Linked DNA regions of Nothobranchius furzeri. The protein of the gene in region 1 binds, or shares a complex with, the protein of each later gene. Links are inferred from orthologs where the notes say so. Each region holds a gene or a part of one and is shown in the gene's direction. Other genes may lie near its edges. The genes, in order: potassium/sodium hyperpolarization-activated cyclic nucleotide-gated channel 2 and pex5la.

Evidence for each region.
Region 2: the proteins of potassium/sodium hyperpolarization-activated cyclic nucleotide-gated channel 2 (region 1) and pex5la are in contact, whole or in part, in a crystal structure (PDB 4EQF), measured with the Mus musculus proteins. The link is inferred for Nothobranchius furzeri from reciprocal best matches to the Homo sapiens genes HCN2 and PEX5L. Residues at the interface, in NP_032252.1 of Mus musculus: Leu859, Ser860, Ser861, Asn862, Leu863; in NP_001156988.1 of Mus musculus: Glu315, Glu317, Val343, Asn347, His426, Asn453, Arg454, Ala457, Thr458, Ala460, Asn461, Tyr472, Arg484, Tyr487, Asn488, Ile491, Ile494, Ile537.

Annotation. Positions count from the first base shown.
Region 1 is NC_091751.1:56,767,066-56,776,623, forward strand, and holds the start of potassium/sodium hyperpolarization-activated cyclic nucleotide-gated channel 2, read left to right. Parts: upstream 1-552; 5' UTR 553-690; coding exon 691-1,832; intron 1,833-3,706; coding exon 3,707-4,130; intron 4,131-5,788; coding exon 5,789-5,950; intron 5,951-9,558. UniProt on the Homo sapiens protein: Hyperpolarization-activated ion channel that is permeable to sodium and potassium ions. Displays lower selectivity for K(+) over Na(+) ions. Contributes to the native pacemaker currents in heart (If) and in neurons (Ih).
Region 2 is NC_091748.1:59,196,163-59,205,212, forward strand, and holds the end of pex5la (PEX5-related protein), read left to right. Parts: intron 1-1,176; coding exon 1,177-1,334; intron 1,335-4,343; coding exon 4,344-4,545; 3' UTR 4,546-4,750; downstream 4,751-9,050. UniProt on the Homo sapiens protein: Accessory subunit of hyperpolarization-activated cyclic nucleotide-gated (HCN) channels, regulating their cell-surface expression and cyclic nucleotide dependence.

The DNA of each region.
Region 1 (9,558 bases):
TACTAAAGAGCACAAACATTAGTCAACTAAAACAGAGTAGAATAAAAAACTACAACCCATCTCAACAACTATTTTACTCGTTTTATTCTCTGGTAGCATTTTTTAAAAGTGTCTTTTTGGTAATTTAAAAATTTTCTTGATTTCTGGGGATCATTTGAAGACCTTTTTGGTGTTTCATGAACCACAATGGGAGTCCCAACCTCAGCTTTGGGAACCGGTGTTTTAATCTCCTAGTTCTGATGATCTGTCAGAAAACATCTCGTGCGCCATCTGCGAGGCCGCTAGAGGGTGCTAAACACCAGATCAGGGTAACATTGTCGTTGTTAAAATCTTCTAAAATATATGACATCATTTGAATGTTCATTAGCACGTGGCAATTAAACTTTTGATCTGCCGAGATGCGTCACTCCTGCTTGCGTTTTATGCATTTTTTAAATTAAACCACGATTGAAAAAAATCATTTTAAAAAGTTGAGATAATTTATTTGAGAGAGAAAATTGGGTTTCATCAATTTGATAATGTTGAGATTATTACAGCATTAGTTTGCAAAAAAGTCACGTCCACTCCTCCCTCTCTTCCTCTGGCCCTTCTCCGCCCCCCTCTTTCTGATTGGCCTTCTTAAAGATAATTGGAGACAAAATCCGGTGTGTCAAGGACAGGAATGAGGTCTCACAGGTGTCTGCTGCTACCATGAAAAAGAAGGCGGTCGGCGGCAGCGGGTGCAGCCACATCAGCGCACCCAAGGAGACTGTCGCATCCAAATGCTCGAGAGGCAACAGCGGACAGAACTGCGCGGAGCCTGGTGGTTCACCCGGTGCGCCAAGCGGCGAGCAGCCCGGTGTGAGCAGCAGCGTCATGATGGACGAGATGGAGGAAGGAGAAGAAGAGTCCAAGTTCCAGCATCCGCGTTTGCGCCGAGCCGGGGGGAGCGGCAGCAGCGGAGGTGGAGGAGAAGGAGGCGGAGGCAGTATCAGGATGAAGAACTTTACGCCAGGAGGGGGAGCCGCGTCCTCGGCTTCCAGGAGAAACTCAAACAAGGAGCCCAGCCTTACGCACACAGAGGACGTTCCTGCCGCCTCACGGCCCACTGCTGCCTCCAGAGCCACCGAGACACCCTGTCCGGGCAATGCTGCCCGACGCGGCGAGATCAACCGAGCGTCTGGGGCGGAGGTGTCGGGATCTACTGCCACGTTAGAGGCTTTAAACGCGACAACGAGTGATGGTTGCAGGGGCGTCGCTCCCATTTCCAGCATGAAATGCAACAAAAACGGAGAATGCAGAAGGGACTCGGGGACCGGGAGCCTGCGCTCAATAATCTCCAAGCAGGAGAAGCAACCAGCGGGGTCGGGGAGAACCGAGGAAGGAGGGGGTGCCAAACGAGGAGCCTGTAACTCGACCACCGCTATGGACGGTTCGATCACACCAGGCCGGTCTCTAACCGGAGGGCAAGGAGGGGAGAACACAAACCCCGGGACCACCTCCGTGTCCAGCGGTGCCCCTGAGAAAAAGGACTCCAAGGTGTCCTTCTCTAACGCACCAAGTCGAAAAGCATCTTCCTCGCTGCACGGCCAGACTCAGACTCAGACCCAACAGCCAAGGAACTCTGTAACTTTCCAGAAACCGGAGGATGGACCGCCAATTGTGCCAGCCGAGGATGCAGAACCTCGAGGCAGCCAAGCCAGCTTCATGCAGCGGCAGTTTAGTAGTATGCTGCAGCCTGGAGTTAACAAATTTTCCTTACGCATGTATGGTAGTCAGAAAGCTGTAGAAAAGGAGCAGGAGAGGGTAAAATCAGCCGGAAACTGGATTATCCACCCTTACAGCGATTTCAGGTAAGAGATGGAGCTGCCAGGAGAGGCCCGTAAGGGTCCTTATCGTCATCTATAACTTACTTTACAGAGTAATGAAGCACAGGAAACAAACGCATTTTAGAGCTACACCTGATTTATCATTCCTCCCGTACTAATGAACCCATAAAGGATGTACTGCTCCAGTCTAATGGGCTGCTGTCAGCACACCGCCTCCCAAAAACAACCTGTTGTCAGGCAAATGGACTTAGCAAAGAGTGTCCTCTCAAGGTTGTAAACAAATCCGGCTCCACTCGGAAGAATAGCATGTCTGGGGCTCTCAGCAAGCCAGGCCTGCTATTCCAGCTCTTCGACGCATGACGCTCACATTTATCAGAGAGCACAGAGACGATGGCATTCATGGTCCAGCTATTATTTTAAAGATCTGGCTAATAAACGTGGCGCTGTCTACTCTGCGTCAAGAGCCGTGCAGACAGGATGGAGGCAATGAGCGCGTGCGCGTGTGCGTACGATGCACTCAGTAATGGAATGTCACCTTGAGCAAAGTGTGCGAATACCTCCAGCGTGCTCACTGGAGACAGATCCGCCAAGATTCTCCGGATCATGTCGTTACTCGACGGATTCGCCGTGTTTGTGACGTGGCTCAGCATCCAGCAGCTATGTCTTTCAAGCATTTAAACCACCAAATGGTCTCCGAGCGTGGCTGTGTCTGCAGCTCACCGCTCCCCCCAGGGGATGGGTCAAATGCGGAGAACAAATTTCGCACACATATCAGTGTGCGTGACAACTAATGGGACTTTAACTTTAGGGGGAATCCACGAGCCGAAAAGGCTCTACGTGACTAACGCGTCTCTGTGAGCAAGTATTGGTTGTTGGAGTTGCGTTTTAGTTGCGCAAACCAACAGGTTTTATTCTGGGCTGGGTCGGTTGCTTTCAGCACCACAGGGAGTGGACAGCTCCCCTCTCATTTGGAGTCGCGTCGCGCGTGTGGAGCGCTCTTCTACCCCCACCCCCGCGAGTCATTCATGTTTGACCCATTTGTTTTCCCATAACGCCGCGAGTCAGTAAAGCTCAACTTAAGACAATGTTCAAGATAAAACGTGACGACAAGCTACTTAATAGACGCTCTCCTACTTTCAACATGAGAGGAGTTTTTTTGCTCCCCGGCTTCTGTTCCTTATTCTTAAGCTGCTCCCTCACGGCAGCAAAGTTGCATCAAACATTATCATCAGCGGCGATTTAGGTAGAATTATCAGAGCTTGTTGCATAAGTCGCAGCGTAATGACTCAGCACTGCACCTGTCCCGCAGAGCTTCCTCTGTCGGGCTGAAACAACCATGATCTCACCTGTCACCTCTGTTGGACAACCTAAACACCATTCATGTCGAAAATCACTATTTTCAGTTCAACTTAAAACATTAACGACCCGGTTTGAGCCTAAAACATTCAAGTCACAAAATCCCTCATTATTTGGGCTAAATTCACTTATTACAATAAAAATACCACAAGAAAACAAATATTTTATTTACGATCATCATCTTACAGACACTTTAAGGCTCTGTGTTTGATTATCTAATATTCCAAAGACTAAGTAAAAAAGTAAATATTTTTCGTTATAGATTTGGAAAAATTTATACATAATACATGTAATTATGCTGCATTTTAACATAACATAACATATATTACAATATGTGCTGATCTGTAACAGAAAACCATTTTTTCATTATTCTCTGCATGTTCAGGCATGAAAAGCTCAGTTCCACATTTCCTCCATCTCCAATTAAGGATCCTCTTGTTTCTATAGGCTTTCCACCGCAGCGCCTCTTTCTTATCTGACTATTTTTGTCTTGTTTTCTTTCTCCTGCCCTTTCCCATTAAACACACACACACATCTGCCAGGTTCTACTGGGATTTTTCAATGTTGCTGTTCATGGTGGGCAACCTGATCATCATTCCCGTGGGCATCACCTTCTTCAAGGAAGAGACCACCACGCCCTGGATCATCTTCAATGTAGTCTCCGACACCTTCTTCCTCATGGACCTGGTGCTCAACTTTCGCACTGGAATCATCATTGAGGACAACTCGGACATTATTTTGGACCCTGAAACCATAAAAAAGACATACTTAAAAACTTGGTTTATTGTAGACTTTATCTCCTCCATCCCAGTGGATTATATATTCCTTATAGTGGAGAAAGGGATTGACTCAGAGGTGTACAAGACCGCCCGGGCCCTGAGGATTGTTCGCTTTACCAAGATCCTAAGTCTTCTGAGGCTGTTGAGGCTCTCCAGATTAATACGTTACATTCACCAGTGGGAAGAGGTAAGAGCTCATGTAGTTATATTTACTAGTAAAATCCTCCGAAACACCAATGGTGGTGTTGGCTCGTGACCAAATAAACAGTCTGCCTCTTTCTGCTCCAAGTGGCCTGCTCTTCTGATTTATTGATGCTGTCACCTGCCACCTGGAGAAAAACAAACACATTTGATGTTAGTAAGACATTTGAGCATGAACAAACCTTGCATTTTGTTGCTCCCACTGTCACTGGAGCTCCCCTCCACTCTGCCGCCTCACCGTCTGACCCAGCAGTCCCACAGGTGGCACCAGGCAGCCTAATAAGCAGACTATTATCAGAACAAACATGGTTAATCAATTAAGGCACCAGAGAAGGAGCAGGTGAGGTGGAAGATGATAGTAACAATCACCACTGAGGGCGAGCAGTGTCTATCATTAGTTATGTCACTAATTACATGAAATAAAGTTAAATAAATACATTTACTGTGTCCTGTTTAGTTGCTGGGAAGACTCTTTCTTTCACTGCCACTTTGGTTGTTGTAGCAGTGTGAGGGATAAGAGATCAGCTCAGGACAAAAGACCTCCAGTGATGTCATGAGATCACTCGACTTTTCATTCTTGCCAGTGTTAGCGGCCTGGTGTTGGCATTTTGCTGTGGTGAACAGCTCATTGGAGCTTGGCTACTCACTTGACCTTTGGATAATTTGATTTCTGAAGATATGATGTGATATGCACACATACACACTCAGTGATGCATGATGGGAAGTGATACTTGACAGGCATGGAGAATGAGGGATGATGACGTGTATGGTAACAGCTCAGGCCCATACAGAAAATATCCACTAGAAATGTTGGTTGTTTTTAAGTTATCTGTTGAGTTTTGTTTGGAAAACCCAAGATTCTGAGCTTGAAACTGCATGGTGGGTTTGTAGAGCTGTCCATGGTGCTGAAAATCTCCAGCGGCCAGAGACAGCAACAGAGGATCCCTCCTTGTTGGTAAAAGTAGGATCACATTCCCCTTTTCCTTGGTTTCTGGCCTGATGGAAGTGACAGTGAAAACATCAAAAAGGTTAAAACTGCATTTAGAAAGTTCATCACGTGTGATTCATGTCAGGTCCTATTCCTCATCACTCGCGTCACCAAGTATCACCTCTCTCTTTGCTGCACTGAAATGACCCACCTCCTTCAGTGGGGACTTCATCAGACAGTTCTGCACGTTTATATGTCGTTTCCACACATTTTTTCTGGCTGAGGATTACTTTTTCAACCTTTAGGTTGCTAAGCAGCATCATGATGAGGTTTCTTGAGGTTTGATGATTGGACTGAGTGAGTGAGCATGATTGATGTGTGAGACAACATGGACTATCAGCTGTTCAGGATCATGATGGTTGCTGTCCATCACTCTGTCCATGTGAATATGTCCATGTGTGTGATGTGATGACATGTCTGTCGGTGTATCCTTGTGCCCGCAGGCTTGCGTGAGAGTAACACATGTATGTGGCTGTGCGTGTATAAAACTCCGCCTGATGTCACACATCTCTGTGTGAAAACTGTATCACCTGCTCCTGTTGATGTTGGTTCAGGACTGTCGCCATTTACCTGCCATGTCAGAAACCCAAGGATCTCATCTCATCTCGTGTCAGATCATTCTTAACACTTCTTCCTTTTTCACTGTCAATATCCAGATCTTCCACATGACCTATGACCTGGCCAGCGCGGTGATGCGGATTATCAACCTGATCGGTATGATGCTGCTGCTGTGTCACTGGGATGGCTGCCTACAGTTCCTGGTTCCCATGCTGCAGGACTTCCCATCAGACTGCTGGGTGTCCCTCAACAAGATGGAGGTATGCATGAGGGAATCTGGTTAGCTTTAACTAACGGGGCGATTACGATCAAAATAAACCAGTTACATAAATCATCTTTATGTGAGAACAAATGCTGAGGGTTAACCAGATTACATTTAAAGCAACATGATTAAAGAAAAATGATTCTCCAAACAGATGGTGGGACACCTTTGCAACTTTTTCACATTTTTAAATAATCTTCTTGAGCCAGTATGTGCAAAAATGACCCTTAACAGTGTTAATGAAAGGCCACCCAGTTCCTATTGTCCCCCCGTGGCCGGAATATTCCACTTGCATCTTCAGACTGGCAGGCGGCATTGTTAGGACTTTAAAAAAAATGAGCTGACATACCTGGTGCTGCAGTCTGGTTCCAGCCCATTTCCTGCAAGTTTTAGATATTGAACACAGCTGATTTGTTTAATTTAGTGATGAATCACTCCTGTAGACACTGGGGAGACGTTTCAGCGGTTACATTAAGGTGTTAAAAAGACAAACACACAACGAGGAAAAAAGTTTAGCTTTTGGTTCTACAAACATACACTAGGGGGTGCTAAAAGCAAGCCAAAACTGATTTGTTCTTTAAAATGATGACTGAGAACATTATGACTGATTTGTAGTTATCCTCCCGTCCAGAACAACTGGATACATTATTTCCAGGAAAATGCATTTTATAGTATCAGAGAACTATTGGATTCACTCACTATAAAATCCAGTTTCTCGGTCCTGCACCATCTCCTCACATGCATTGTTTTATTAAGTTTAAGTGCCTCCAAGCAGTTGTGCAAGAACCTGAACAACTGAAGCTAGTAAATGAGAAATCTCAGGTTCCACATCCCTGACAAAGAACATTAGAGTGTACTTATATTTCCTCTCTATAAGCTCATATTGATTGGAAGTCATTAATAATGGCATACTGGGAATGATTTTCCAAATCACTGAAGGAAAGAAGCATACTTTACCCTAATGAGAGTGTGTTTGCCGTGCATGCGCTCATTCTCTTGCTGTGAATTAGAGCTGGGATGGTTCTTCTGATTCTGTCACTTCATACTGTCTCTATAGATGAGTGCTACTTGCCTCTGCATCACTGATCTCTCAATGTGCAGTCATCTTAGTAATGAAAAGTTGTGAAATGCATCTGTTCTTGCTCACAAATCGGATCATGCACTGACATTCTCATCAGAGGAAACATTTCTTCTATTTCTTCGAATTTTCCTCATGTATACCGCATTGTTTCTGACATTTCTTAATTGATATAATCTCCAAAGAAAGATTTTTAGTCCCCCACACACCCAATAATTAATTCAGTAATTTAAAGACAATCAGACCTTTTTTACGCCTTCTTGACAGAACTTAAGCATTAAATCTGCCTGAACTGTATTTTTACACATGCTGCAGAGCATTAATGGATGCTAATTCTCTTGTGAGGAAGAATCTACAGATTCAGTCATGTTTTTTTTGCCCCACAGCTGGATTTGTACTTTTATTTAGCATTGACAGTGAGAAAAGCATCAGTAAAAGTTGGCTAAAGGCTGATTAGTAATCAGTGATCATCAAAGTCTTTATTGTCTGTTGCTACTGTAGGGATATCTGTGCTTTAGTAAAGAAGAAAAGGCTTCAAATAAATTCATTTTCTTGATTTTAAATTTATGGAAATTGTGGAAATGACATTTCTATGGCCCTTCATCACATCAGCAGATGCTACATGATGTAAAATATCAGTTTTGTTAGCTCTGCTTGAGATTAGCAGCTCATAGCAACAAGTTCTGCTGTAGATCTTGTGTTCACTGAAGGTCTGACGGAACATTTATACAAATATTTTACCAAATTTGTATGTTAAGTCTTTCGGTGACCTCAAAGTTGATAATTTGCGCTGTTGGCTCATCATTTTGAGAATATTTATGCAAAGTTAGGTAGCTCTATACAGCGCTCTAGTGCTCAGAAACACATCTAGGTGACATTCGCTGCAAATATTTTATCTCTCATTCAAGGAGAAAAGCAAAAAATTCTCTCAGACAGATCAAGAAAGTCACTCATATCTCCATCTTGTGCAGCACCGATCAGTCTTTGTGACAGACAGAGGAAACATCCGCAGGTTATCGGTGAAGATGCAGTGGAAAAGAAGCCAGAGATTTAAACACACCTCCTGATCCCCCCATGCCTCCCCACCAGTGCCGTGGGGCGATGACAGGAAAGATAAAAGGGGAAAGCAGAGGGATGAGGGGGAATATGGCCAGGCAGCTGGGCTCTTTGTTGCCATGTCTCTCTCATAGAGATAAAAGCTGGTTGTTCATAGGTCTGTCTTTCAGCCAAGCCTTTTGCTGAGCAGGGGAAGACCACACCAACCCAGACACGAGGCACAAGTCCAAATTGGTTTTAAACAGATTGAGTCCTGCTCACAGACGTTGTCTGGGTTCAGCACGACTCGTCGTAAAACTCAGATTTGAAGTTTTTCTGGATGAGGCTTCTGACTCTTGATGTTATGGCTGTACAGAACCACAAAGTGTCCTACTTGCCATGTACGGACATTTTTATTACATTTTTATGCAACATACGACCCATCTGACCAATCATCGACTTGCAGCTTATTTGAAGAGCAAGACACACCCGGCAATGGTGAACCAGAATGGATTAAACACTTTAGTTTTTCAACATTATATCAATTTGTGTGCATGAAGAATAAAAGTTATGTGATATGTAATCAGCTCTGAATTGATTATGTCAAAAACAGACAGAAGCATTTTATACTTGTATCCATCAGCTATGTAAATCATCAAAGTGTGGAAATTAATTTAACTTTACTGCACGGTTACTCCATCCATCCATCCATCCATCCATCCATCCATCCATTCATTCATTCATTCATTCATTCATTCATTCATTCATTCATTCATTCATTCATTTTCATCCGCTTATCCAGAGTCAGGTCACGGGGGCAGTAGCCTAAGGCGAGAGGCCCAGACTTCCCTCTCCCCAGCCACTTGGGCCAGCTCCTCCGGGGGAATCCCAAGGCGTTCCCTGGCCAGGTGAGAGACATAGTCCCTTCACCGTGTCCTGGATCGCCCTTTAGGTCTCCTCCCAGTTGGACGTGCCTGGAAAACCTCACCAGGGAGGCGTCCAGGCGGCATCCTGACCAGATGCCCGAGCCACCTCAACTGGCTCCTCTCGACATGGAGGAGCAGCAGGTCAACTCCGAGCCCCTCCCGAATGGCCGAGCTTCTCACCCTATCTCTAAGAGAGAGCCCAACCACTCTTCGGAGAAAACTCATTTCGGCCTCTTGTATCCACGATCTCGTTCTTTCGGCCACTACCCTAAGCTCATGACCATAGGTGAGGGTAGGAACGTAGATCGACCGGTAAATCGAGAGCTTCGCCTTCTGACTCAGCTCTCCCTTCACCATGACAGACCGGTACAACGCCCGCATCACTGCAGATGCAGCACCAATCCGCTTATCGATCTCACGCTCCAATTTTCCCTCACTCGTGAACAAGAACCCGAGATACTTAAACTCCTCCACTTGGGCAGGACCTCATCCCTGACCCGGAGAAGGCATTATACCCTATTCCAAATCAAGACCATGGTCTCAGATTTAAAGGAGCTGATTCTCATC
Region 2 (9,050 bases), on another chromosome or scaffold:
CACGCCCACCCATCCCCCACTCAAGCTGCTATAAGCTGAGAAGATCCGATATCCGGGAGGGGCCTGGAGTAGAGTGGCTGTTCCTCCAACAGCAGCCCTCTCTTGCAAGTGTGAGGTTGTTCTATCCGAATTTTTCATTTTGTGGCATCACAAATGGGGACTTTTTGAAATAACTTGTTTTAGGTGCATTATTCCTAAAAACAGTTATAACCCAAAAATCAATTGACAAGTTGGCTTTTTATGTGGATTGTTTAAAGAGGCAGTAAAAAACCACATTTTGGATAAGTGTTGAAATGAAAACTGAAGCTACAAATATGAATTTTCTTTGTGTGGCTCAGGAAAATCTAAATTATTGTCCAAACATTATATGAGGGCTTGACTATTTGGTCCAAATCTATGAGATCTTCACCAGTTTAGAGAAGTTATCCAATTCAGGGTTAAATTTACTTTGGACCTGTGAACAACAACAGTAAAGTATAGTGTACGTGAATGATGACACAAACATATAACAATACATAAAAATAAGACAAGATGTTCGCAGCAGCAAACTTTTTATTCCATCGCCCTCTTGTGAATCAGTGAACGTCCTCCCTTTGCTGTCCCAGGATGATGTGAATACGACTCAATGTTAAATCTAATCCCCCACATTTGACTTGATAATATCTGCTCCCCTACTGGAATAAAAACTGTTCCGAAAACAAAAGGGGGATAATTATATCCTGCTGCTGGGCTAAACCACGGATGAAGGACTGCAGAAGCCACTGACCTATGTTCGTGCCCGTCTGCCCGCAGGTGGGGAACAACAAGGATAACCAGTGTGATGTAACTCCTATTATATCACCATGTTGTGTTCTTGCCATTGATCCAGATTCAAATGTGTTTACTTATTCATATATTGAATTATGTAATTCTTCTTATCTTTGAACTGTTTTGTATCTGAAAGCTGCAGAGGGCCTGAAACTGTTTGTATTTTGACTTTTAAAAAGTAAGATTTACTCTTTCTGATCCATCGATCGGTCCGGACACACAGCTGATCTCTGAGCCGTTTAAAAATGGAAAGCCTTTTAAATGATCTGTTACATTTTTTTAACATCTAATTTTTAAAGTAGATTCACTGAAAGACATCCACTCGACACTGAACTAGTTAACCCAAGGCTTTACTCCTCCTCCATCCAGGACTACTTGTTGTGGAATCGACTGGGAGCCACGCTGGCTAATGGGGACCGGAGTGAAGAGGCGGTGGAGGCTTACACGAGGGCCCTGGAGCTGCATCCAGGGTTTATCCGGTCGCGCTACAACCTGGGCATCAGCTGCATTAATCTGGGGGCACACAGGTGAGTGACCTGCAGCAATACAAGGACAGTCCTGGCTTGATTTGCATGTTTCTCATTTTTAGTCCTGAGCAAAATCAAAATTATTTATTTGCTTTTATTTAATGATTTTAATTTTCAGGACATAAAAAATAGAAAAGCTCAATGTTAGTGGTGAGCAGAGTGAACCAATTCAAATTAAAAGTTTATGAAATTCCTAATTTTCCCAAGGGATTCAAATATGCTGTGCTTAAGTTGAATGAAGCTTTTTGGAATGGGTTTTTTTTCTATCCTATGTGAATGCATACATGTAAAAAGACAAACAATAACAAAGGAGGAGAAAATGCAAAAGAGAAATAATAGAAAAAATATGTCTAAAATTAGAATAATACAAGTATTAACTGATTCAAACACGTTTAGCCTTACTGGTGGTATTCTGCCCTTTGTTATTTAACCATAACCAGTTTACTTTAAAAATGCAGAGTTATTTCAGACTCTTTTAGCTCCATCTAGCACTGCTAATGTTGTCTGTGATGTTTTGCATTAATCGAATGCAACAACCTGAAAAAAAACTGGCGTCTTCATTTGCATAATGAGAATGGAATGCGTTTAACATAATAAAAATGTTGTGACAGGAACATTAAATAAGAATTGGAATGTTTATATTTTATAAAATAAAATGGAAATCAAAAGTCACAAAATGCACAGGAAAATTATGTGAAACTGTAAAAAAAATGTTTTCTAAAACACCAATAACCCAATGGAAATAACTTTTAGGTGGAAAAGGAAAGAAAAAGGAAAACAACAATTTTTGCATGTTGCCATATTTATTGAACCATTCATAGCATTTTACTTTTTTGGTTCTGTAATAAAATTGTGTTTAGTCTTAGGTTATAGATCAACAATTTCAAAATAAAACTAATTAAAATTCTATTCATAGTTTGTGTGTACATGAGGAAGAAACACTTAAAATATGGGACAAAACTAAGAATTGAATATTTTCCTTTGGTTACACACAGGTAAAACTCAAAAGACTAGAATATGGTGCAAAAGTAAATGTTTTCAGTAATTCAACTTAAAAGGTGAAAGTAATTTAATGAGACAGACTCCTTATATGCAAAGCCAGATGTTTCAAGCCTTTATTTGTTACAATTGTGATGGCTTACAGCTTATGAAAACCCCACATTCAAAATCTCAGACATTTAGAATAATGTGAAAAGGTTCAATATTCTAGACCCAGAGTGTCCCACTCTAATCAGATAACCTTGCAAACAGTCAACATTGCATGGACATGCAGATCATGTCTATATTGAGTCTATCAGTCCAGACCACGTCTGTAGGACGTCCACTCTGAGTCTTTGCACAGTGGGAATGAATCCAAACACCTAAAAAGGTTGCCATCTTACTATGGTGGAGGGGTTTGAGTGCCCCAATGATCCTACAAGCTAAGTTGTCAGAGGCTTTATGCCTCTGATAGGGTCACCCATGGCAAACAGGTTCTGGAAGAAACAGGTGAGGGATCCAAGGTGCAACCCAAAGACCCATTATGAAGAAACAGTGTTCCCTTGCCTGGATGCAGGTCACCAAGGCCCCCCCCCCCCCCCCCCCCCCCCCCCCCCCCGCTGGAGCCAGACCTGGATGTGAGGTACATTGGCGAGTACCTGGTAGCCAATGGAGCCTGGCCGGAGGAAGAGTTTAAGTATATTGGGGTCTTGTTTACGAGTGAGGGAAAGATGGAGCTAAAGATCGATAGGCGGATTGGTGCTGTGTCTGGAGTGATGCAGGTGTTGTTCCGGCCTGTCGTGGTGAGGAGAGAGCTGAGCCGAAGGCGATGCTCTCGATTTATCAGTTGATCTACATTTCAATCTCATCAATGGTTACGAGCTTTGGGTAATGACCAAAAGAATGAGATAACTGATGCAAGCAGCCGAAATGAGTTTTCTCCACAAGCTGGCTGGGCTCCCCCTTAGAGATAGGGTGAAAAGCTTGGTCATCCGAGAGGGGCTAGAGTAGACCAGCTGTTCCTCCACATCAAGAGGAGTCAGTTGAGGTGGCTTGGGCATCTGGTTAGGATGCCTCCTGGACATCTCCCTGGCGATGTTTTCCAGGCACGTCCAACCAGGAGAAGACCTAAAGGAAGGCCCAGGACACACTGGAGGGACTTTGTCTCTCCCTTAGGATTCCCCCAGAGGAGCTGACCCAAGTGGCTGAGGAGAAGGAGGTCTGGGCCTCTCTGCTTAGGCTGCTGCCCCGTCAACCCGACCCCGGATAAGCGGCTCAAAATGGATGGATGAACATGCAAAGGGTTCCTGAGCCTTTAAGTGGTTTCTCAGTCTAAGTTGGATTACTGAAATAAATGAACTTTTGCACCATAATCTAATACAGAGACGAATCAGAGCTCATGGTGAAACTTGCAACCCTAAAATCCACAAGTTGTTAAACTGCCATCGTTGCTGCGATCAACTGGAAGTTCAGATGCTAATTATCACAAAAAATAGTCTATGGAACAAATACAGTCTCACCAGTCACCAGAATATGACTTTTTTAGACATTGAATTCATGACATTGAACTTTTATATTGTGAAATTATGTATTTGGTTGGTTTGTTTGTTTTTTCACTTAACATACACCAGCAAAAGTTTCAAAAGCAAAAATTCAACAACAACTGAGGTGACTTCCTGGTGACCCAAGCCAAAGTAATCATCAATCAAGCGACTCAAGTGACTCTTAACCAATCAAATCACGCTTCTCTGATCCTGTGACACCAGTGAGTCGCTGACTCGATTGAGTGACGATTGCTTTGGTTTTGGTCAGGAGAGGTCATCTCGTTTGTTGTTGAATTTCTGCTGTTGAATTTTGACATTGAAATTTTTGTTGGTGCACTTTGTTAAATTAATTTCACAGAATAAAAATTCCATCTATCCATCCATCCGTAAGTCACATTGTAGTGAGACTGTTTTTCTTCCATAGAAATCTGTTCACTCACTCATTTGTCCTTTGATAAAAATTGATTTGTTGCTTTTGTGTCCCCAGAGAAGCAGCCAGCAACTTCCTGACTGCTTTAAGTCTACAGAGAAAAAGCCGAAGTCGACAGCAGTCTCACGAGGTGATGTCTGGAAACATCTGGGCAGCTCTGAGGATAGCGTTGTCCATGATGGACCAGCCTGAACTCTTCCAGGCAGCAAACATCGGTGACCTGGATCTCCTCATGCGGGCTTTTAACTTAGACTTTTGAGGGTAAAAACAAGAAGTGATGAATCTCCCTCATCATTCCTTCTCTGCTCTCTAACCAGAAGCCAAAAACCCAAAGCGCACATTTCTGAGTTAGCCTAAGAGGAAGGTGCGTTTAGTTTGCACACTAGAATGATGGTCAAACCCCGTGATTGCTTTTATTATTTTTTATTTTTGTGCCCTGATTCTTCGGAGAGGTTCTGAGGCTGGTTCTTCCAAAGGGTTTGGACGAACTGCTTTGTGATGGAATTTGCGCTGCAATTTGTGATTTCCCTAAAGAGCACAAGGACGGGCAAAGATTGTACGAGCAATGCCTTAGAGAACGCATCAATTAAAAACTGACTCATCCAGTGGAACTGAGGGGGGCAGGAGTGACAGCCACTTTTAAGACTCCCACAGAGGACCCCCCCACCCCCACCCCCACACCCCACGCCAAGCCATTTGCAGCTAAAAGACAAGGCTTCGAGAGGAAAACTGTTGACTCAGGATTGTTCAGAGAGCAAATGTTACAGGCAGCCTGCCTCACATAAGCAGGAGCTCCAGACTGTCTTCCTGGCTTCTGCTCTGTCAGTGGAGAGTTATCTAACTGCATAAATAAGCAATTTCAAAGGTGGATATTTGTCTAAATCCTACACGCTTGTAGAAGATTCTCCCTTTGCACTTAGCTTCAGTTAATTTCCTGAGTCCAAGTGGAATGTGCAACCCTTACCCAAGCCTTACTCAGACGCATGCATCCACTTACATTTATTTACTAAAAGACAACAACTTTTCATTTTTTCTTTACTTATCAGTTTTTGTCTCAGCTCCTGCAGTCTTGTTGTTCCCTTTAAGCTGATTGGCTGGAGAAATGCATCCAATTCCGATGAGATCAAGTGATCTGTAATCATTTTTAAATTTCTCATCAGCTTCAGTTATTGCATGTTTTCTTCAGAGGCCACAAAAGCTCATACACACGTCATATTCTTATTTTCATTTCTGCAGAGGATATTTGCTTTATTACAACTCATTATGTCCCATGGAAATGTTTGTATTTTCAAGACTTGAGACTGCAGCTTGATGAATTTCCGAATGCGCTCATCTATATCCAAGCTGCAGAAGCTGCAAAACTCATACTTGTAATTAAATCACTCCTTCTTAGCCATCATGCATGATTTAAATATTTACATACGCTGCTCAGAGTGTTGCATCTTATTTGTTTTGCTACATTAATATGCATCCATTTAAAAATAACTTAATTTATAATAAAAATCTTCTCAAGATTAATTTTCTGCAACTCTTCAGAAGCGTTTTGTACAAACACGCCTTGCAAGTTGCGCTGACAGCTTCCTTTGAGTTCTAGTCTGAAAGTCATTTTGTAAACTGAACATTATGCCACTTGCCACGCAACAGAGTCAATGATAGATTATCTGCTGTAGCGCTCAGCTCTGCACTCTCTAGTGTTTATCAAGCGTGTCCACAGTCTGGGTGTGCTGCAGAAAGTGTCTTATTGTTGTCGGCTCCTATGCAAAAAGGTCATCTTTCATGTTGCTGCTCTGAATTGTCGGTTGGTCCCCGTCTGCCTCGGCAGACCAAAGGGAAGTGTTGATTCTGTGTTTTAAAAGAATACTATCGGGGATGACCAGAGACCAGCACCAGAACCATTCATCTTCCAAGCAGCACAGCTGGGATGTCACACTCTGTCAGAAGGAAGGTTTTATCAAGGGACTGGTGGGGAAAACGAACGCCATCCAGCTTTTGAATTTTTGTAATTCTCTGCCATAGAAATGTCTTTGGCTGTAGGTGGAGACTTAAAAGTCACAGCTGTACACCATTGCTCGCGCTGGAAACGTTCTCATGGATGCTAACTCTGCCCCTGGAGAAGAAGGAAACTCCACCACTGTAGCTGTTGTCCCAAAAATCTAAACAACACTAAAAGTAAGATTATGCTGCGAACTGAGAGTGATGTGCATTTACTGGAGCATGGGATTGGAACAGAATAGCATTTAAACATTTTCAAAATTTGTAAGTAATTTTCAGTCACGCTGATGGAATGGCCTTAGTTTGGGAGTTTCCAGGTTCCACGTAGATCAACGCCCCTTTAAAGTTTAGGTTGTTGGGTCTTCTTTGTCTGAAATGACTTGTTTTGAATTGAAACTGCAGTTTTTATAGTGAATATGGAGACAAGTCACTTCTGGTGCAAGAACAATGTCATATAGAGTTACAACCTGTTTTTTACTCCTTCAGCTGAAGACGTTCCTATGAATAAGAAGCTTTGGCCATGTGGAATGTTAGGGTTCATTTAGATTTGCTCTTACTAGGGAGGACTTAAAGAGGCAGGAGCAGAAATAAAGCGCATGTGCAGTAAATGGTGAACAGGTAGTGTTTTACCTGCAGAAGGCAGCAATCAGAGATTTTAATTCAGTGTTTGAGTGGGGTTGCATGGTGTTCATGACATATTACCACACTGATGAACTGAATAGATGGTAAACTAGTTCACACCTTGATGATTTTGCACAAGACAGTTCTTTAATGTAACTATTTTTTAAACCAAACATTTTTTTATTCCATCCCAAAATAACAACTACATACTGCTTATTTGAGTAAATTTATTGCACAAGTGGAAACATGAACAAAGTGCCTTTTTCTGCAGAAATCAGAGGATATTTGCATGAGTCGTATGTTATAAAATGTAAATGGCTGGAAATTAAACAAACTTGATGGGCTAAATTAATTACTCTGTAAATTGTCTTCATGCAATTAGTAGAACAACACAAATGAACAGATGCAAAAAATAGTGACGATTGAAACTGTCTCGTGCAAAAGAGAAGTGCAAAAATCTGAACATTTGGTAAAACTGCTGAGAAGGTTTGAAGTTGGTTTAAAAGGATGATTCTGATTTCTGATAGTGCAAACTTCTGCCTGATTCTCCAAAGTGATATTTCTCTGATCGCATTCTACTGCAGATTTAATGCTGACTATGTACTCCAAACTACCTTTCATCCATCCATCCATCCATCCATCCATTTTCATGTGGTTATCCGGGGTCGGGTTGCAAGGACAGCAGCTTAAGCAGAGAAGCCCATGGCTTCCCTCTCCCCAGCCACTTGGCCCAGCTCCTCCGGGGGAATCCTAAGGTGTTCCCTGGCCAGGTGAGACATAGTCCCTCCATCGACTGGTAATACGAGAGCTCCAGACGAGTACAACGCCCGCATCACTGCAGATGCAGCACCAATCCGCCTCTGAATCTCACTCTCCAGCTTTCCCTCACTCGTGAGCAAGACCCCAATACTTAAAACTCCTCCACTTAAGACAGGACCTCATCCCTGAAGGCATTCTACCCTTTTTCGACTCAAGACCATGGTCTTGGATATAGAGGAGCTGATTCTCATCCCAGCTGCTTCACACTCGGCTGTGAACCGCTCCAGAGAAAGCTGGAGATCACGTTCTGATGAAGCCAGCAGGACCACATCATCTGCAAAAAGCAGAGACCTGATCCTCAGGCCACCAAATCAGATCCCTTCAACACCTTGGCTGCACCTAGAAATTCTGTCGGTAAAAGTTATGAACAGAATCTGTGACCAAGGGCAGCCATCTCTCACCAGAAACGAGCCCAACTTATTGCTGGTAATGCGTACCAAGCTCTGACACCGGTCATGCAGGGACCTAAAAGCCCGTATCAGAGGGCCTGGTCCCACATATGCCCGAAGTACCCCCACAGGCCCCCCAGAGGGACCCGGTCCAACACATTCTCCAGATCCACAAAATACAAAACACTCCCATGCACCCTCCAGGATCCCCTTAAGGGTATAGAGCTGGTCCAGTGTTTCCCACTGCCTGATCCTTCAAATTCCAACCCCCAAAAATAATCTGTGTCCAGGTTTTCTCGAACTCCTCATCTCATGAACATGTAAAGTGGGGTGAATTTTACTGTTTGTTACTAGAACATCATTAGCTCCTTTAGATTCTTTTGGGTCAACAATTATCCTTCTAAAACAATATTTACAACAATGAACTTGAATCAGTCAAAAATATGTTATTGAGCCTGGTGTCCACCATTAACGTGCTCGTTCTCCAAATATTAGGAAAGTTGAGCTAACTCAAGTATTTTTATGTTTTGCACTGAAAGTGTCAACAGAACTGTAGGAAACATGATGTCTGGGGATTTTCTGATTTCCTATCAGCTCTAGATTTTGTATCTGCCTGTAGGCCTTTGCCTTTTTTGCACCTCGTCACTCTGTATAAAAGAAAACAAAAGAAAATATCAAACCTGAACTAAATCTCAACTTTGGATCATTATAAATGATGCAGGGAAATGACTATATTACTTATTTAGATCTAACAACCTTCTCAGGTGAAATGACGTAGCTTGTAACGCATGCTCCTGAGGAAGTGAGGCTGACAGCATGTTAGTCATTTTGTCCTTTTGAGTCTTTATTTGTATGCATGTAAGTGCTTTCTTTTGCTATCGCTAACATAAAATTAAGTATAAGATGAGGTTTCCTTGCACTATTTCTACAACATACCTGCAGC